Tamandua tetradactyla: one gene and its partner. Each later gene encodes a partner of the first gene's protein in a complex. Links are inferred from orthologs where the notes say so. Each region holds a gene or a part of one and is shown in the gene's direction. Other genes may lie near its edges.

Region 1 (10,867 bases):
CCTACGTGGCTGGGACTGATGATTAATGTAAAGTTTTAAATTAGGTGGAATGACATTTTGGAAGATAAAAGCCTCCCCTGGGGCTGAGCTGTGGAGGCTTGAAGTGGAATCAGGCTGTCTACACACCCGGCTGCAGAAGGTTGGGGAGCGGTGCTTTTGGCAGTTCACGGGGTGCACTGCACCCCCTCCCCATTCTGAATCTACAAATTAGAAACTCATCAGGCCTTCTGAGGTGGGTGCACGTTCTTTTCCCGGCCCAGAATCCATTCTCCCTCCTCCTTGCAAACGCCCTAATTTCCCCCTACTAAAAGGAACATAGAGCCTTTATGCTACATAAAGCAGTGGTATATTAACTCTTGCTTTTGCTGTCACTACAAAAATAAATATATATTTATATACATATATATATATTTAAATTTTACATTTGCTTTTTTTTTTGAAAAATTACTATTTACTTGAAGAAAACTTTGAATTTAGGGAAGAAGTAACAATAACTGGTATACATATCAATTTAAAATTTTTCACTAAGCCTCGAGTAGAACAGTCCCCCATCTTTCTACCAAGAACCCCTTATTTTGCAAGATCTGTTAAAACTTATTTAATCAGTTCAGGTTTTTATCAAGAATTCTAAAGCTGCCAATCAGAACTCCTAATAAGCATGAGATAACCAGGTTAACAAACTTGAAATGATATGTAATGTGAGTAAAAACTTTAAAAACCTTTAACTTATTTATACATTCTAATGAGGAGATATGTTCAGTTTTTCTAGCATCAAAAATAAGTGAGCAGGTATTGTTAACCTTTGCCAGGGGTTTATTGGCCTCAGGCTGGGAATCACAGGTGTACATGCCAAACACTGTACGTACACACCCACACAAATGAGAACTAAGGATTAAGTATAACAGTCAAAAAACATATGGGCCCTGTATATTTAAAGGGGAATAATGAGTACTTGTCGTGGGTTTCAGAGCAGGGAGCAGAGAAACAAATCACTAAACCATGAGGAGAACCAAACAAGGGTGGAATAAAGTTAAAAAGCATAGTTGCTTTATTTTTTAAGTTCTTAGAGTTTTTAATAAAAACAATGCATGCTTAGTTTTAAAACTTCAAACTGTACAAAAGGGTATTCAGTGAAAAGCCAGTCTCCTTGACCCTCCAACTCCTAGAGACAACCTCCATGGCCATTTTTATTAATATCTTTCCAGAAATAGTCTATGCAAATATAAGCATATCTCTAAATTGATAGCCCCCATTTTCATAAAAATGATAACATGCTAGACGCATTGTTCTCCACCTTGCTTTTTTTCTTTATTAAACTATTTGAGATCATTGTCAATGGTGAGAAATAATATAGAGAGATATGAGTAACCCTTACCCAGTTTCCACCAATGGAACATCTTGCAAAACTATAATGCAGTATCACAATCAGGATATCGGCGTTGATACAATCGATCCACCTGATTCAGGTTTCCCGAGTTTTACCTGTACTCATTTATACATATTAAGTTCTAGACAATTTTATCCTGGGTGTTGGCTCATGTATCCACTACCACAGACAAGCTACAGAAGAGTTCCGCCCCCACAAGCATCCCCTGTATTGCCTGTTTATAACCACATCCACCTCCCACCTGCCTCCCGTCCGCCATCCGGAACTCCTGGCAAGCACTAATCTGTTCTCCATTTGTAAAATTTTATCTTTTCAAAAATGTTATATAAATGGAGACAGTATATTTTGGGATTGGCGGTTTTCCTTTCAGCATAATTTCCTGAAGATTCGGCCAAGTTGTGTGTATCAATAGGCCGTTCCTCTTAATGGCTGAGTGGTATTCCATGGTACAGATGTACCGTAGTTTGTTTAACCAATCATCCGTTGGAGGACATCTGGGTTGTCTGCAGTTTGGGGCCATTATGAATAAAGCTGCTATGAACATTCATGGACAAGTTTTTGTGTGAACATAAATTTTCATTTCTTTGGGATAGACGCCCAAGAGTGCAATCGCTACGTCATTAGTGATTGTGTGTTTTAGTTTTGTAAGAAACTCCCAAACTGTTTTCCAATGTTGCTATACCATTTTTCATTCCCGCCAGCAATGTATGAATCATCCAGTTTCTTTGCATCCTCATCAGCATTTGAGGTGCCATTATTCTTTTCTGCAAATAGAAGGGTTTATTTTTCTTTCCAATCTGTATGCCTTTCATTTCTTTTTCTTTCCGTCATGCAGTGGTTTTTTTTTAAAACATATGAATATAACTTGGAGATCATTTCATATAGTCACATGGATCTACCTCATTTTTTAAATGAATTTGCAATATTCCAATAGTAAAATTGCCATAATTTATTTACCAGTGTCCTATTAATAGTTATTTAGTTGATTCTAACCTTTTCTTTTATTAGGAACAATGCGTCAGTTGAAGTCCTTGTACATATCCTTCCAAACATTTGCAGGGTATTGTAGAAAAAAATCTAGAAATAGAATTGCCAGATCAATGAGTATGTTCATATTACATTCTGATAGTGCTGAATTGCCCTCCAAAGAGGTTGAACCAATATAGTCCCATCCAACCGAGTGTCTTCATAAATTTAAAATCTTTGCCAACCTGATAGGTGAAAAAAAAGGAAAATTTTTTGTTGGATTTACTTAATTTGAAGATGAAGAGTTTAAATTTTGCTTAAAATGAAATCAAAAGGTTACTTCCTAAACATAGATGGGTACTGTATTATCTTTCCATATATTAGGGGTATATAATATTACTATTTTGTTTTCAATTCAACCCAGTTCTCAAGGCTCTATTTTTAAAACAACGTGGGGTTCAGTACATATTTCTTTCATGCTTTAGTGGGGCATTTAAGCAAGCAGTCACCAAATACCAGTATATGCCAATGAATAAAGGCATTATTCCTGCCTCTGGGGAGCCTGTGGTCTAGTAGGGGAGTTATAGTAATTTCACTGTAATGCAGTAAGCATTAAGATAGCAGACTAGAACAGATGTTAGAGTACAGAGAGAAAAGAAACTTAGCTCAATCTGGAGCTGAGAGGTGGAGGAGGACTAAACGTTAGCGAGGTGAAGAGAAAAGGAAAAGACAGTCCAGGGAGAGGGAACATCACAGGCAAAGACATTGAGACATGAACAAACTGTGATCTTGGGAAACTGTACTGTAGAGTAACTATGAGGAAGTGTCAGAGAAATGAAGACGGAAATCTGATCATGGAAGACTCGTATGACATACCAAGGAGTATAGAATTTATTCTGTAACCAATGGCGAGCCAGTTGGGTTTTAGGCTGAGGCGTAACAAGATCGGTCTTTGGGGTAGGAAGATGGCAATAAGACTAGTACAATGGAACTTTGGGACAAGGAGATAGTGAAGGCAGAGAGACCAGTTAGGAGGCACGTTAACTGTATGGGTGATCTTTTGACTGATTGGATACAGGGAGGTGAGAAAGGAAGCAATGGTGAATTATTCCCATGTTTCTGAATTGGATAATGATTGCAATGTACATTTATTTATTGTACCCAGCTGCTCCCTTCCTAAAAGCACCCAGATTGTTACTCAGGAAAACACCCTCAACCTCCCCCGTTGTGCAGCCCATATGCTTTAGGGAAGTTGACCTCAGTCCTACCTTAGAGGTGGGCCTTGACAGACTTACATTAATTAGCACATTCCATTGCCCTGGCTATACTTCTTGGTCCAGGAATGAGCATGTGATCTAAACCTGCCAATCAGGGTGAATGTCAGAACTCTAGTTTGGAATGCTGGGACCCAAATGGGAAGCACAGGATGAAAACAAGGAAGCTTGTTGCCCTGACATAATTGGCAATCATCTTGAGATCTCAGAGGAATGAGCCATAGATGGGAGCTCATTCTGTGCAGAAAAAAGAGAGCTGGATTCCCAATGACAAGCTTGGGTTGCTGGATCAACCAACTGTGAAGCCCTGGACTGTCCAGTTATGGGAGCCTAGAAATCCCCTTGTCTTTTGAGTCAATTTGAATTGGATTTTCTTACGTGCCATATAAAGATACAAGTAACTAGATGGATGATGGGGTCATTAAACAGTATATACAAGGAAAAAGGAGAGCGTGCATTGAAAAGAGAGATGTTTCATCCTGAACTTTCAGAGTTCTAAATCTTTGCACCAAGTTGATCCCTGAGCTGGAAATGTTCCCCTCTTTACATTTGTGGGCCTGCTAAGAAAGTCCTACTCATGTCCTAGGGCCCTGTTCTGGCCTTTCTCCCTCTGTAAAGACTTCATAAACCCATCTTCTCGTCCTGGTCAGAATTCACCACACCTTCTCAGAATTTACCACTTCTCAGAATTCACCACTCCTTCTTCTGAGCTTCTATAACATTTTGGATATGGTTCTCTCAAAGCTTTTATCATATCATACTACTCTTTCCTCCATTGGACACTGAGCTCCTTAACAGTCCAGAACAGTTCATCATCTTCTTTGTATCCACATCTGCAGGGCATCAAATAGCATCTGAACAATCTGATGAGGAAATGACAGCCATTCTTCTGCATTTTCTCCCCAAACTAATTAATCTGCCCACTTTCCCTCTTGAACAGAGAGAAACTCTAGCTATCAGATCATGGATTAAATACATAATAAATTACCAGAAAGGGATGAAAATATAAGGTTGGTAGAAAAGGATATTTTTATGGACCTGGAACACAGAAAAAGAAAAGTTGGATTAAATTACCTCTATTATAATGATGTGATAGCTGCTCCTTTGCCAAGTTGTGAGGGTGAAACACACATACAAAATTTTTCTGAATATATAAAGCTGGGTTTACAATTTCTGCTAGTATTGCTGAAGACTGTGGGAAGAATCTAAACTTGGCACTACCCACACATAAGGTCACATTGTGCCCATCAATTTATTTTGATCTCAAGGAAGGCGTTTTGGAGCAGTGCTCAAGAAATAGCTCAACCAAAAGAACATTTACATTATATAAAAATGAACTCCAGTAATTCAAATTTATTAACCTTACTTAGTACAGTGATTTCAAAATAGAGAAAAACCTCTAATAATTTGAACTGAAAAGATAGAAATTCTACCTGAATTTTTGCAGGAAATAGTTGAATTGTAGAATAATGTTGTATTACCTCCAAGTACATTTAGTAATTTGGATTAGGGAGAGAGGCAGGTATAGCCAAGTCTATATCAGTAATGATAGAATGATTGCTAGTTGACAGATATTCATTGAATGCCTGCTACATGCCAGGTATTGAGGTACTGAGGATACAGTGGTGAACAAACGTGTGAATCATGATGATAAGAAGGAATGTTTATTCAGACCTAACTATGGTCCAGACCCTGAGCTAAGTGTTCTGTCTTCATTGGCTCATTCACTCACTACATACTCTGTGAGCTACCGTCATTATCCCATTTTATAGATTCAGAAACTAAGTTTCTGGGAGGTAAGCAACTCATCCAAGGTCATAAAATCCATTAAAGTGGTGGAAATTGGACTCTTACAGGCTTGTAAGGTTCTAGAAGTAACACTGTAATTGAAATGCTTCATAGGTAGGGAACTAGGCCATTTCAAATCTTGCTAACTCCGTTTGCTTAAGCATTCTATTTTTACAGTTTTGTAAAGGTAAAATTCGATACAGTCCTACCAAAACTTCAACAAAATATAAATCTAAATTAGTGGAGCCCAACCATTGAGTTTTCATCTTGATACTAACAACTCGAGCTTATAGATCTAGAGAATATGTGCATTTAACCTGTACCTTGGCAAAACTGTTTACCACTTTAATTCAGTTTTTCAGGGATTCATTTGCCCACTACCCTTTGTGACTGTTACAGTATCTGCATACCATCTGTACTATTATTTACTTAAAGTTGATTCATTATTTTTGTTTAATGTTTTAAAGGAAATTTAATATCACTAGTATAAATAAAGAGCCATTTATTCATTGAACACAGATTTATTAAGTGCCTAACATGCGCTTTGCAGTGGGGAGATAACAGTGAAAAATAGCAGACTAAAGAGATGAAAAGCCACAAAAGGAGAATGCCAGCTGGTGGTAAGGTGACTGTGAGGTAATGAAATAGACTCAAGACATTTGTGAGCCATATGCAGTCCAGCTTCACCCCTCCTCCCACCTCACCCATACTCCCACCAAAATCCTACAAATACCTCATAATCTAGTCCAAATATTTATCTGGGGGGTAGTTCTGGGGTCTCTCTCTCTCTCTTTTTTTACATTTTTATTTCAAGTACCAAGACTAACAAAGATGCACAGTAAAAAACTGCAACAAATGGGTCAGAATTAATCAGGCCTGGGGTGGAGGGCACAGCGATGCTTTATTGTTTTTTTCTTTTAATCCCCCAAAAGTTTTGCAAAGTACTTTTAATTTTATATACAAGTCTAAAGGACCGAATAAACATAAGCCAGTTTAAATGCATACTGAAGCGTCTATGGGCATTTACAGCTTCTTTATAACACTCCCACATTGATCTGCCCTCGAAAGGAGATCAACTTCCGGCGGATCCACCCACCGGGAGCCTCCGCCTGTAACTCTGGACCTAGTCGCCAGGTTTTATCGATTGCTTTTGCCTGGGCAATGTGCCCAACCCAGCAGACTGGCCTGGATCGGCTGCTTCGGTCTGGCCCCACCCAGAGCGCGGGAAAGAGCAGTTTTTCAAGCCGGCCCGGGGCTGCGGCTATCGCCATACTCTTAACAAAGCCAAGCAGCCCCCGCCTTTCACACGCCCGACCACCTAAGGCCTTCCGAGTCACGCGAGTGGAAGTAAAGAAGCCGAAGCCGGCGCCATGTCGGAGGCTTATTTCCCGGTGGAGTCGGGTGCGCTGGGGCCTGAGGAGAACTTTCTTTCCCTAGACGACATTCTCACGTCCCACGAAAAACTCCCGGTGCGCACGGAGACCGCCTTGCCTCGCCTCGGCGCCTTCTTGGAGCGGAGCGGAGGCCCCGAGACTCACAACGCGATCCCTCAGGTAAATCCTTCGCTATTGCTTCCCACCCGTAAAGACTACATGCAACTCCTGGCGGACACCGCGTCGCCCGGCGGGGCCCACGGCGTCCTCTGGGATTTGTAGTTTCCGGGGCAGGACGGGCCATGCCCTGCAATGAGTTCTCCCCTCCTGTCTCCTGGCGCCTAAGCAGAGGTGTCTTGGCCTGGCGCTTGCCACCTAGGCGGAAACTAAACTGAACGTAGGTTTTCTGACTGCTGCAACATTGATTTCATTTTTGAAATTGTCCAAATTCAGCAATCTTTTCCCCCCACATTGAGGTGAATGCTGAGAATAGGCTGGTACTGAATACTTCAGGAGATCAGGGTTGCAATCTCGTTTACCTTAAAACAGAGCTTTGGGTAAGAGCATGTGCTAGATCTGGAAACCACAAATTTTAGATTCACTCCTGCATAATGGTGATGGTGTCAAAAACCATTACCTGAGGATTTAGTGCCAGTAAGGATGGGGGTGAGGGAGGTAACCTTTTCCATCTATTACCCCTTTAAACTTTCAGCAGTCTGTAGATATTGTTACGAACGAGGACCCTGGAAAGGTTGAGTAACATGTCTGGGCCCACAGTTTTTGGCCATTCGAACCTAGGCCTGTAAGACTTGAAATCCAAATTCTTTCTAGGAAAGCATGGCCTATAATGGCCGTGATTGGTTTCCTCTTTGACCTGAGTTTCATTTGGAGGGTTGTTCTGTTTGGTCTGTTTTTAGTTCTTCTTTTTTGTATGCTGTGTGGTGGGGCCACGTTTCATTCTTTTTCCATGTGACTATCCCATTATTGAAGTACATTTGTTGAGTTTTCTTTTGGGGGAAGTGGGTTGGGGGGAAGGGCACAGCCAGAATCATACCCAGTTCTCCCACATGGCAGATTGGAATTCTACCACTGAACTACCTTGCACCCTGTTTTGAGTTAATTTTTATCAAAATATTACATACACAAAGTTTTGTTTGTTAACACAGATGCTGAGCTGGATTCAAAGGATGTATGTCCCCTAGAAAAGCCATATTTTAATCTGAATCCCATTTCATAAAGGCACAGTAGTCCTTATTCAACACTGTATGTTTGAAATTGTAATCAGATCATCCCCCTGAAGATGTGATTTAATCAAGAGTGGTTGTTAAGCTGGATTGGGTGACGACTTGTCTCAACCCATTTGGGTGGGTCTTGATAGGTTTCTGGAATCCTGTAAGAGAGGAAACATTTTGGAGAATGAGAGGTTCAGAGAGAACAGAGCAGAATGACATAGCCATGAGAAGCAGAGTCCACCAGGCAGCGACCCTTGGAGATGAAGGAAAATGTCTCCCCGGGAGCATCATGACACAGGAAGCCAGGAGAAGCAGCTAGCAGATGATGCCGTGTTCACCATGTGCCCTTCCAGATGAGAGAGGAACACTGACCTTGTTCACCATGTACTTTCTCACTTGAGAGAGAAACCCTGAACTTCATCAGCCTTCTTGAACCAAGGTGTCTTTCCCTGGATGCTTTTGATTGGACATTTCTATAGACTTGTTGTAATTGGGACATTTTCTTGACCTTAGAATGGTAAACTAGCAACTTATTAATTCCCCTTAATAAAAGCCATTCCATTTCTGGTATATTGCATCCCTGCAGCTAGCAAACTAGAACAGATGCTTTAATATTTTTACAGGTGTCATGAGTTTATTTTTTTTTATTAATTAAAAAAAGAATTAACAAAACAATTAGAAATCATTCCAATCTACATGTACAATCAGTAATTCTTAATAACATCACATAGTTGCATATTCATCATTTCTTAGTACATTTGCATCGATTTAGAAAAAGAAATAAAAAGACAACAGAATAAGAATTAAAACAATAATAGAAAGAAAAAAAACAAAAAAAACAAAAACAAAAAACCTATACCTCACATGCAGCTTCATTCAGTGTTTTAACATAATTGCATTACAATTGGGTAGTATTGTGCTGTCCATTTCTGAGTTTTTATATCCAGTCCCGTTGTACAGTCTGTATCCCTTCATCTCCAATTATCCCTTCTCTTTTTTTTTTTTTTTTTAATTAACGGAAAAAAAGAAATTAACCCAACATTTAGAGATCATACCATTCTACACATGCAATCATTAATTCTTAACATCATCACATAGATGCATGATCATCATTTCTTAGTACATTTGCATTGGTTTAGAAGAACTAGCAACATAACCGAAAAAGATATAGAATGTTAATATAGAGAAAAAAATAAAAGTAATAATAGTAAAATCAAAACAAAACAACACAAAACAAAACAAAAACCTATAGCTCAGATGCAGCTTCATTCAGTGTTTTAACATGATTACTTTACAATTAGGTATTATTGTGCTGTCCATTTTTGAGTTTTTGTATCTAGTCCTGTTGCACAGTCTGTATCCCTTCAGCTTCAATTACCCATTGTCTTACCCTGTTTCTAACTCCTGCTGAACTCTGTTACCAATGACATATTTCAAGTTTATTCTCGAATGTCCGTTCACATCAGTGGGACCATACAGTATTTGTCCTTTAGTTTTTGGCTGGATTCACTCAGCATAATATTCTCTAGGTCCATCCATGTTATTACATGGTTCATAAGTTTATCTTCTCTTAAGGCTGCATAATATTCCATCGTATGTATATACCACAGTTTGTTTAGCCACTCTTCTGTTGATGGAGATTTTGGCTGTTTCCATCTCTTTGCAATTGTAAATAATGCTGCTATAAACATTGGTGTGCAAATGTCCGTTTGTGTCTTTGCCCTTAAGTCCTTTGAGTAGATACCTAGCAATGGTATTGCTGGGTCGTATGGCAGTTCTATATTCAGCTTTTTGAGGAACCGCCAAACTGCCTTCCACAGTGGTTGCACCCTTTGACATTCCCACCAACAGTGGATAAGTGTGCCTCTTTCTCCGCATCCTCTCCAGCACTTGTCATTTTCTGTTTTGTTGATAATGGCCATTCTGGTGGGTGTGAGATGATATCTCATTGTGGTTTTGATTTGCATTTCTCTAATGGCCAGGGACATTGAGCATCTCTTCATGTGCCTCTTGGCCATCCGTATTTCCTCTTCTGAGAGGTGTCTGTTCAAGTCTTTTTCCCATTTTGTAATTGGGTTGGCTGTCTTTTTGTTGTTGAGATGAACAATCTCTTTATAAATTCTGGATACTAGACCTTTATCTGATATATCATTTCCAAATATTGTCTCCCATTGTGAAGGCTGTCTTTCTACTTTCTTGATGAAGTTCTTTGATGCACAAAAGTGTTTAATTTTGAGGAGTTCCCATTTATTTATTTCCTTCTTCAGTGCTCTTGCTTTAGGTTTAAGGTCCATAAAACCGCCTCCAGTTGTAAGATCCATAAGATATCTCCCGACATTTTCCTCTAACTGTTTTATGGTCTTAGACCTAATGTTTAGATCTTTGATCCATTTTGAGTTAACTTTTGTATAGGGTGTGAGAGATGGGTCTTCTTTCATTCTTTTGCATATGGATATCCAGTTCTCTAGGCACCATTTATTGAAGAGACTGCTCTGTCCCAGGTGAGTTGGCTTGACTGCCTTATCAAAGATCAAATGTCCATAGATGAGAGGGTCTATATCTGAGCACTCTATTCGATTCCATTGGTCGATATATCTATCTTTATGCCAATACCATGCTGTTTTGACCACTGTGGCTTCATAATATGCCTTAAAGTCAGGCAGCGCGAGACCTCCAGCTTCGTTTTTTTTCCTCAAGATGTTTTTAGCAATTCGGGGCACCCTGCCCTTCCAGATAAATTTGCTTATTGGTTTTTCTATTTCTGAAAAATAAGTTGTTGGGATTTTGATTGGTATTGCATTGAATCTGTAAATCAATTTAGGTAGGATTGACATCTTAACTATATTT
Region 2 (10,311 bases), about 28 Mb from region 1:
ACTGTGAACCCCAGCCCTGGCTCTCTGATTCTTACTTCCTGAGAGACATCCTGGGGCAGTGGTTGCTAATGCCGGAAGTTTATTTTTTCTTTATTTTTGATGCCAAAGTCAAGCATGCTGATTGAAACCAACAATAAAAAAGCGTACATGGCTCTTCCTCTAAGTGCGGAGGAGCTGGGGCCACAGGCGGTGGCCAGTGAGGAGGAAATCAGGGAAATGAAGAGGCGGCAGAGCAGGCCAGACCCACCAACCTGACCCCACGTGGCCCAGATCGTTCCCAGCTTCCAAGAGGCGAAGGAACGTCCCGCTTCTGTGACCTACGCTTTGTGCTGTATTGCTCCAGGAAGGGAGGAGAGGAGGGGAGAAAAGTGTGAAAACAGATGGAAATGTAATTTTTTAATGACAGCAGCAGATGGCAAAAAGACACAAGAGCGTATTCACACCATGTCGGAGCCATCCGAGAGCGCCTGGCGCAGCGTGGCATGCGCGAGGGGCTGGCATGAGAGCTGTGCCAGAGCCAGGAACCGGGCTAGCGTGGAGAGGAAAACACAGCCCCGTTCCCCCCAGGAGGGCTGGGACTCACTGCCTGAGCCACAGGTAGGTGGAGAAATACCTGTGGCCACCTGGTTCAGGTGTGGAAGCTTCTGGAAACATCACAGACAGTAGAGGGGCTATGGGTTCAGACAGATCCCATTTTCGGTGCCCACAGCCTCTACCCTAGGACACCAGGTGTGAAAGCCTTACCTGGACTTGTGCTCCCAGCTTCCAGGGCAGTCTCCTGCCGCCAGGTGTGGCCCGCCCTGCTCCATCTGCCACGCAGTTTCCTTTCTAAAATGCAAGTCTATTCACGTCACTCCCCCGACCTGCATCCCCGAAATGCTTCACTGCCCTCAGGATGGAGTCCAAGTCCCTGGAAGTGGCTTAGGACAGCCAGGTCCTTGCTTCTTTCCTTGCCCTTGGAGCCCCACACTCAACTACGATGATAATAGCTCGGAGGGCTCTTGTGAGAAAGAAATACCATTATTACTAGGAGTAGGAGCTCCCCCCTTTTAGGGGCTTCACCTGCACCCATCCCTGTTAGCCTCACAGAGGCCCTGGGACACGGAGGTGTCCTGACAAGGTGTGGGCACAAGCCATTGGACCAACGCTGCCCACAACACCAGCCTGGGGTGTTGCCCACCGAGACCAGCCCTGCAGAAGGTCGTGGCAGCACCCCCACTTTAACGCAGGGACACCGAGGGCAGGCCAGTGGCCAAGTCCCCCAGCAGCCGGCCCTCCCGCAACACGCGTGCACCTGAGACACGGGAGGGACTCCGGTTTGGAAGGTAACAATTTCTAGTTCTCAAGGCCCTATCCTGTGCCACCTGTTTGAGCAGAGGCAAGAGAAGGCATCTATAGACTGATACCCGGAGGAGGTGTTTTCCATTCTGTTTCTTTCTTTTTTCTTTTTGTTGCTGGGACCATATCTCTAGCCCCTTCCTTCTCTTGGTGACCATGCCAGGAGCTGCTAGTCATTGCTTTCCCCTACAATAGGGTCCTGAGAGACAAAGGGGAGAGGTTCAGCTTAGTTATGCCCGAACCCCAGCTCTTAACCTTGGCTAGGAAGCTCTGAAAGATGCAGATGCCCAGGCCCCAACCCCAGCACTTCTGCTTCATCTGGTGCAGGGTGCGGCCTGGGCATCCGGAACTCTCTTCCCATGCACAGCCAGGCCTGAGAACCTCTCTTCTGTTCCCGACCTCATCGTGTCTTCCCTGCTGTTCATCATTTCCCTGGCCCCAGGTGGGGGGCACCCAGTCCTTAGGGTAGAGTCACCATTGAACTAACACAGTCCTCGTGGGGTTTCCCAAACCTGCTCAACCCAGAACGCCGTGTGGGTTGGCTTTGGTGGGCTGTCCTCGCGCAGGTGGCTTCGGTTCCCACACGTGGCTGGTGGCCCCTGTCCTGGGCAGGGCAGCCACAGAGCCCGCCCCCGCCCCACCCTCACCGCTGCTGCCTGAAATCCCACTGCTTTAAAAGAAGGTGTCTGCGTTGATGGCGGATTTGGAGAATTCTGCTAAATTCTGAGTCGACCAAAAGATATTGCAGCGCCGACTACTCCAGAGGCAGAGACATGTTCACCGCTAGGGGAGGGAACGATCATTGCTGTGAGTTTCAGGTGTCCCGGGGAGTCAACAGGGTGGCACATTTTATTTTAGAATAAGCTTAGATTTCCAGAAAAGTTGCAAAGATAGTATAAGGGGCTCCCACCTCCCCCACACCGAGTGTGCCCTGTTAATAATACCTTATGTTATGCTACAATTATGGTACGTTGGTCAAAACAAATGAATCTTCATGCCACTGAATTGTATATGTGCGAATAGTTAAAATAGGAAATTTTAGTTGGTTTGCGTGTTACTGCAATTAAAAAACCTCTAATAAGCCAACATTGACATGTTATTGTTAACTAAGGCCATAAATTTATTCAGATGTCCTTAGTTTCTATCTAATGTCCTTTTTCTGTCCCGGGATCCCACGTGACCTTCAGTCATCCTGTCTCTGCAGGCTCCTGTTGGCTGGGACAGGCTCTCCGACATGGTCAGGTTTCGTCACTGTCAGGTCACTCTATGCTCTCCTCCCTTTCCACACCCCTTGGAAGGAAGTCACCAAGGGCAGCCGCACCTTAGGAGTGGGGCTGGAGTTCCACCTTCTGCAGGGCAGAGCGTCTGTGAAAATTCTTTGGAATTCTTCTGTACCAGAGAGTCATCGTTTATTTGTTTATAACAGAATGGACTCAGGAGCCTTTATTTGATACTTTGATGATTACTCTCTGATAATACTTTATTTATTTTGTTGCTCAAATTGAGTTTGGCTTTGTCCATTGGGAGCTTTCAGTTTGGCTCCTGTATCTCTCTGACATGTCCCATCACACACACACACACATATACTTCCTTACTTCCTGGCATTACAAGATGTTCTAGGTTCATCTCATGTGTTTTCTGCCCCAGTCCTGGAATCAGCCATTGCTTCAGGATCCCTGTTTTTTTTTTTCAGGATTGTATTTAGAAACCAAGATCTGGGTGCTGGTGTGCTCTTTGCTCCTGGGCTGTCATGATTTCCAGGCCTTCTCAGCTGCTGACCAAAAAAATAGACGTGTGTACACTAACCTGTCTGTGTACACACACCTACAAACATTTCTCTGTGCAACCATCTGCATCTCTATTAAGCTACAGTGAGCTCATATTGATGTTGCCAGCTCTAATCCGTTACCACCTGGATACTTCTAGGGGAAACGCTTTTTTAGAACACAAAATAGTGGTGAGACCTGACCACCGCATCTAAAGTAGCCCCCCCACACACACCATTCTCCACCCCTACTCTGCTTTAGTTTTTTTCAGGCACTTACACCTTCTCTGTTAAATGTCTGGTCCTCTCACTCAGACCACGTATGGGGCAGACACCCAGTAATTCAGAAGGCCTCTCAAGCCTGGGCCCCGCCGAGTAAGTCAGAGTTGGAGTGCAAATTACTGGGGAAAATTACTTTGCTTCCCAGTTTTCCCAATTATTGAAACCTTCAAAGAGCTTGCGTGTGTGGTTTCCCTGACCCACTGCAGATCCCCAGGTCAGAAAGTCTGAGCCTGGCTCTTAGGAACTGTTTGACTGAGGAATAATTCACATATAAAAAATTCACCCTTTGAAAGTGCACAAGTCGCTGGTTTTTAGTATATTACCAGATTTATACAACCATTAGTACTATCCAAATTCCAGAACAATTTTCAAGGTTCATCCATGTCGTAGCATGTATCAGAACTTCAATCCTTTCTATGGCAAATGGTATCACCTTGTACGGATATAGTACATTTGCTTATCTGTTATCAATTGATGGACACGTGGGTTGTTTCTACCTTTTGACTATTCCAAGTCATGCTACTATGAAAGGAGGGACATTTAATAAGTCCCCAGGTGCTTCTGACATACACTAGAATTTGGGACATCAACGCCCCATCATTTTGCAGCCTCTAAAGCAATGTCGTACCCACACAATCTCTTTTTTGTTTTCCCAACAGCCAGGTAAGACAAGTAGCAGCATTGTCCCCATTTTACCAATAAGGAAACTGAGGCTCAGAGAAGATGAGTGACTTGGAGAGCTGGACCCAGACCACTGACACTGGGCTCTCCAGTTCTCCTACCCACCCCTCAGCTGGCCTCTCTGATCCTCGGCTGGCCTCTCTGATCCTCGGCTGGCCCACCAGCTATTCTCCTTTGCTCTTTTACAGTCTGTGAGAATCAGGGAAGGAAGCCTCGCCAACTTTGGAACGCAAATATTGCCAGTCAAGAAAATATCCACCCGTCAATCAGAACCCAGACACTTTGGCAGACACTGTCTGGCAGATGCCTGAGGGAATTATCTATTTCGGGATGGGTCAGGTGGCCCATAGACTCCCCTCCTCCCTGAACATCTCAGGGCCCCTTCTCTTCCTACCTCATTTTGCAGATGAAGAAACTGAGATTCAGAGCAGTTACCTGCCCTTGTTCACACTGCATTCAGTGTGACCTTTTATTTCTTTTCTTTGAAAATATTTGTCTTAATAAATAGATTTAATGAAGGCAACATACAGGATAACTCTCACTGTCTGTAAAGGACAGCTTTCCATGCAGATGCATAGCACGTGGAGCTTTCAAGGACATGTGAGTGGGTGGAGCTTGTTATAGTTGATTTTCCTTCCAGCAACCCCACGTGGGGCACGATTCAAGGGGCTGGGAGAGGAGGCACAGGGATGGGTGGGGTGAGGCAGCTTTCCCGTGGGGAGACAGAAGCCTGGAATCCTGGTATGGCCTATGTTTTCTCTCAGGGCCTAATGGGCCGAGCTCAAGTTCAAGTCCAGTTCCCTGTCCATCCCTCCAAGGCCTTCTAGAGGAATGGCTTCACCTCCTAAGTCTTATCGCTGAGGTGATTTCACCCCACACCTATTAAAAGTCAGCTGTAGGAGAGGTGCGAGGGTAGTTCAGTAGCAGAATTCTTGACTGCCATGTGGGAGACCTGGGGTTGATTCCCGACCCATGCACTTCCCAAAAATAAACAAACAACAAAAACAAACAAAAATTCAACAAATGGTGCTACAATAATGGGATACTCACATGGAAAAAGAATGAAATGTGACCCCACCATATAGCATACAAAAAAAAAAGTCAGTTGTTTCCCCTCCAGACCCCTGAATTAAAATGCCCCAGGGAGAGGGCCCCAGAAATGTGCATACCTACACACAGTCTTATGGTGAGCAGGGAACCATTCCTATTATATGTTTCACCTACGCCTGTGTGTCATGGGAATCCCATACAACAAATAGTGAACAAATCAAGAGATATTTGCAAAGACTGTGCAAGCTTGCCCCTTCCTCAGTCACACCAGGTGAGACTTGAAAAGACAAATTAGGAGCCTCTTTCCCTGCAATCTCTGCACGAGAAAGTCTGGGCAGCCAGAAAGAATCGTCATTTTTATAGATTTTTAAGTAATCTGCAGAGAGAAGGGAGAAGATTCTGAGATTAAAGGGAACAAGTCCTTCTCACCGTCCACTGCGGGAGCAGTCAAAGTGCTTGCCTGGATCCAGCCATGTCCGGGCACCTGGTACTGAGTTTGGCCCACAAACGCATTTTCTCCCGGCCTGGTGCGGATTTTTTGTTTAGTTTCTGTCTGATTTTTTTTTTCTTTTTTAATTAGAGCAGCTTCAAACTACCATGTAGGTTTACAGAAAAATAATGTGGAAAGCACAGAGTCCTCATTTATGACTCCCCTCACACACAGCTTTCTCTATTACTGACATTTTGTACTTGTATGGTACCTTTGTTACAACTGATGAAACACTATTATGATTATACTAGTAAATACAGGTCACGGTTCACGTTAGGGATCACTGTGTTGTCCACTCCTATGGGTTTGGACTCGGGGTGCTGGCGGGCAGGCGCCAGGTGCAGGACTTTGAGGCCAAGAGGCCCCGCAGCGCGGCGCGGGCGGGAGCAGGAGCCCGCAGCCTCAGGTGCGCCGGGCGGCGGCGCCAGGTGCGCAGGTGGGAAGCGCCAGGTGCGCCGCCACGGGCGCCCCCCCCCCCCCCCCCCCGGGCCCGAGCCCGAGCCCGAGCCCGACGCGAGGGGGCGGGGTCGGCCCGGAGCCTCGCTCGGGAGCGCCAATCGCCGAGCTCGTAACAACTGCGCTCTCCGTCTTCCGTGGAGAGCGCCGCGTTCCTATAGGCCGGCCGCGGCTCTCTTCCGGGCGAGGGGGGCGGGTCCGCGTCGTGGCGGGAAAGCGGCGGCCGTGGCGTCTTCCCGGGAAAGCTGAGGTCTTCACGGAGGCGGAGAGCCCCACGCCGGCCGTCATGGAGGCGGCCGAGGTAGAGTTTCTGGCCGAGAAGGAGCTGGTCACCATCATCCCTAACTTCAGCCTGGACAAGATCTACCTTATTGGGGTAAGGCGTCCGGGCTGGGGCAGGTGGCGACCCCCAGGGCAGACCCCAGCCCAGAGGCGCCCAGGCCCTGGGCAGCCGCGCGGTCTGTTCGACGACACCCGGGGAGCCTCTGGGCTGGGGCCCCCACCGGGCCGCTCGGGCCTCCGCCGCGCCTCCCGCCTCTGCCTGGGGGTCGCCCGGCGTGTAGCCGGCTGGGCAGAGGTGAGGTGCCCCGGGCACGCCTGCGCCTGTGGCCGTGTCTAAGCGAGGGCAGCCCTGGGGGACCGTCCCCACTGACTTTGGGGCTTGCCGGACTTTGCCGCACCTCGTCAGAATCGCCCTGGCCCTGGTTAAAATTCAGCTTTCTGCCTCCACTCCAGACTCTCTCGTCAGAGTGTCCGTGGATTGGAGTTGGGAACAGTTCAGCTCTGTTCCCATTTTTCAGAGCAGAAAATCAAGGCTTAAAGATGAAATCCTATGCCAAGCTTACCCAGTCAGTAGAGTTTGCGTTTTATGTAGGGGAAAGTTCCAGGGCCTGAGGCCTTTATCAGAGGACAAAGGTCAAGGGCTATAAATGCACAGAGTTTCTTCCCCCTAACCCCAAGGAGACTGAAATTCTCTTCATTAAATATTGCTCCAGGGCGGGCCACGGTGGCTCAGCAGGTAAGAATGCTTGCCTGCCATGCCCCAGCTTCTTTTCCCGGTGCCTGCCCATGTGAAGAAAAAAAAAAAATTGCTCTGGAAACTGGAGGATGTAGGCAGAAACGAAGGAAGAGAGTCAAGGCTTTAAGTGCTCACAGGTTGAACTAAGTACTTCTTGGTGTCATCAGATGGGTGCTGTGTCTGCACCACTTGGGAAGCCCAGGGCTCAGGTGATACTTGCCTGAGAGGTCCTGGTCAGTATATGACAGCAGATGATGTCCAGAAGATACATAAACCACAGCACCACATGTTTGGGGATGCTTAACGGCAAAAGTAATGATGGGTCTGTAATGACAGTTGGTTTTAATTTTTACTTGGAATTCAGTTTGCACAGGGCTGTTGGTCTCATCTGATAGCGATGAGGTACAATGATGTTTTTTGTTTCTGATCTTATGGGGGCTTGTTTTTAACTTTGGCAGGGGGATCTGGGGCCTTTTAACCCTGGTTTACCAGTAGAAGTGCCTCTTTGGTTGGCAGTTAACCTGAAACAAAGACAGAAGTGTCGCTTAATACCTCCTGGCTGGATGGATGTAGGTAAGGAGAGGTGGTGACCTGTAATTTGGGTGGGGCTGGATGGGGGATGACACAGGCTGCAGATGGGTGGGGGCATGGGGCAGCCTTCCTGGTTTGCTTAGTGCTCCCCTACTCACCTGTTCTCCGATCAGCTGAAATTCATACTTCCAGATTTATCTCTTAGTGGGTTCTGCTAACCACTGTTTCTAAATTTATTTTGGTTTTGGTGTATATGAAAATTTTAGTTTAGATTTTTATTTTAGATGTTTCAGCTTGCTTCAAAATTTAAAATATTACATGGTCTTAAAGGAGCATTTGTTTTAATTTTTTTAAATAAATAAGTATAGACTAGAGTTTGCAGGAGCAGAGTTATTTTACATTATACAGAATGCCTAAAAAGAATGCATCATCCTACAATGGAGTATTATTTACCATAAAATGGAACGAAGCACTGATACATGCTGCAACATGGATGAACCTTGAAAACATTATGCTAAGCCACAGAAGCCAGACTGTTGATGTTTTCTTTTGTGTGAACTGTCCAGCATGGGCAAATCCATAGAGATAAGGAGGTTAGTGGCTGCCTCGGGATGGAGTAATGAGGGGTGGTTGGAGTCTAGGTATATTTGTACAGCTGAGTTTGCTGAAGGATTGACTGTGAGGTGAGAGAAGAGAGTAGAGAATGACTGCCAGGGCTGTTGATTGGAGCTGCAGAAGGAGATGCGCTGGAGTGGGGCCCTGGAGTAGGTTTGATCCTATTATACTTGAGGTATATATGAGACTTGTTGGGTCATTGAGTGGAAACGATGTTGGCAGTGGGATACTTGTCAGGAGTTGGGGGTGCTGAGCTGGGTGGGGATTGAGACTTGGAAGTCATTATCATAAGCACATGGGTGGTATTCAAGCGAGGCAGGTGAGGACATCTGGGGTGTGAATTTAGATGGCAAAGAAGAAACCCAGGAACTGAGCTCTTTGATTGGGTTGAGGGCTTGGGAGCATGAGAAGCAATCAGCAAGAGACACAGGGAGTGGCCAGCAAGGTTGAAAGAGATCCCAGGGAGGCAGTGCTGCCCCCAGAAGTGAGGCAATACAGACCCAAAGAAGGAGAAGGGTGGCATTTGTCAAATGCTGAGACCAATAATGAGCCACTGGGTTTAATGGAGTGGAGGTCATTGACCTTGGTGACCTGTTTTGGTGCAAAAGTTGGGATAAACACTAATTTGAGTGGTGTAGAGCAAGTGGGAGAAGAGGTTAATGTAAACATAAGACAACTCTTAAAGTTTTGTTTCTAAAAGGCCTGAGAAATGGTAGGTAACTGGAGAAGGATTTAGTGCCAGGGTTTTCTTAGTAAGATGGGAGCTCTCACAGTGTGTTTGTAATGATCAAGTAGCAAGGGAAAAATGAGGATTGTCAGGTGAGAGTTACTGTAGTGATGTTTGTGGGTAAGGGGAGTCTTACACCCTCTGCAGGGAGGTTGGGAGATGGGGTGGGCACAGATGTTCTCTCTCGATCGCTTTTCTTTCCTCAGCAAAATAGGAGGTAACGATGAGAGTTGGGCTGTGGGGTGAGGAAGCATTGGTGATGTGAGGAGATGGCATGGAGTGGTTGGATAGAAGATAAAAGCAAGAGGATGCATGGACCAGGGAAACTAAGAGGATTGTAGGTGACCAACCGGGGATGTTGTCAGTAATTTAAAGTGAGACCCAACAGTTTTGTCTTTCTGTCCATCCATCCATTTCCCTTACCCACATTCAGCAGTCCAGTTCCAGAGTTGGGGTTTCTTCAGGCCCATGAGGAAGAGGGAGGAAGGGAGGAAGGCCGAGGGAGCTGTGGACATGTGCAGCAGTGGTGGAGCGGTGGGTGGGATTGGACTCTTCTGCACGTCCAGACACTGGGATTAAACAACTACATTATATATTCAGCCCCCAATCCTGGGTGTCTGTAATTTGTAAATTTTGTCTTGTTCTCTTCTGAACAAGGCTTAGTACAAATAAATTTCTCTAATCACTGGCTACTTTTTTTTCCTTTTAAAATTTTTATTGTGGTAACGTATACATATATAAGCACAAAAGTTCCCATTTTAACTAGTTTCATGTTACAACTCAGTGACATTAACTACATTCACAATGTTGCGCAACCATTACCACCATCCATTACCACAATTTTCCCATCACCCCAAGCAGAAACACTGAACACATTAAGCAGTAAACTCCCCATTCTCCCCTGCTTCCAGGCCCTAGGAACCTCTGACCTATGTCTGTCTCTGCAGATTTGCTTATTCTAGTAATTTCATAGAAATGGAATCGTACAACATTTGTCCTTTCGTGTCTGGCTTATTTTACTCAATATGATTTTGCAAGGTTCATCCATGTTGGTACATGATTAAATGTGAATAATGTTCCAGTCCACTGTGGGTGCGAACCACATTTTGTCTATCTATTCATCTGTTGATGGGCACTTGGTATGGTGGTTTGGAGCTATAAGTACCCCAGAAATACATGCTCTTAAACTTTATTCCTATGGGTGTGGATTCATTGTAAGTAGGACCTTTTGATGAGATTACTTCAGTTCAGGTGTGACCCACTTCAGTCAGACTGGGTCTTAATTCTATTACTGGAGTCTTTATAGGCAAAATGAAATTGAGAAAGAAAAAGCTGTGGGAAGTAAGAATCTGAAAGTT

Evidence for each region.
Region 2: the proteins of GINS3 (region 1) and GINS2 are in contact, whole or in part, in a crystal structure (PDB 2E9X), measured with the Homo sapiens proteins. The link is inferred for Tamandua tetradactyla from reciprocal best matches to the Homo sapiens genes GINS3 and GINS2. Residues at the interface, in NP_073607.2 of Homo sapiens: Leu13, Gly14, Tyr117, Ser121, Leu124, Asn131, Ala132, Ser135, Gln136, Leu138, Leu139, Gln140, Phe142, Ile143, Phe146, Arg147, Ile149, Met150, Asp151, Ser153, Gln154, Ala156, Met171, Gly174, Leu175, Thr178, Gly179, Gly182, Leu183, Asp185; in NP_057179.1 of Homo sapiens: Asp2, Ala3, Ala4, Glu7, Met93, Glu94, Lys97, Asn101, Trp121, Ile125, Arg129, Val130, Ala132, Asp133, Val136, Arg137, Gln139, Met151, Thr155, Ser156, Thr158, Phe159, Leu160, Gln162, Ala163, His166, Met167, Lys169, Leu170, Arg171.

What each region holds. Positions count from the first base shown.
Region 1 is NC_135342.1:52,015,220-52,026,086, forward strand, and holds the start of GINS3 (DNA replication complex GINS protein PSF3), read left to right. Parts: upstream 1-6,576; 5' UTR 6,577-6,785; coding exon 6,786-6,968; intron 6,969-10,867. UniProt on the Homo sapiens protein: Required for correct functioning of the GINS complex, a complex that plays an essential role in the initiation of DNA replication, and progression of DNA replication forks.
Region 2 is NC_135342.1:80,208,424-80,218,734, reverse strand, and holds the start of GINS2 (DNA replication complex GINS protein PSF2), read left to right. Parts: upstream 1-6,240; 5' UTR 6,241-6,348; coding exon 6,349-6,438; intron 6,439-7,538; coding exon 7,539-7,653; intron 7,654-10,311. UniProt on the Homo sapiens protein: Required for correct functioning of the GINS complex, a complex that plays an essential role in the initiation of DNA replication, and progression of DNA replication forks.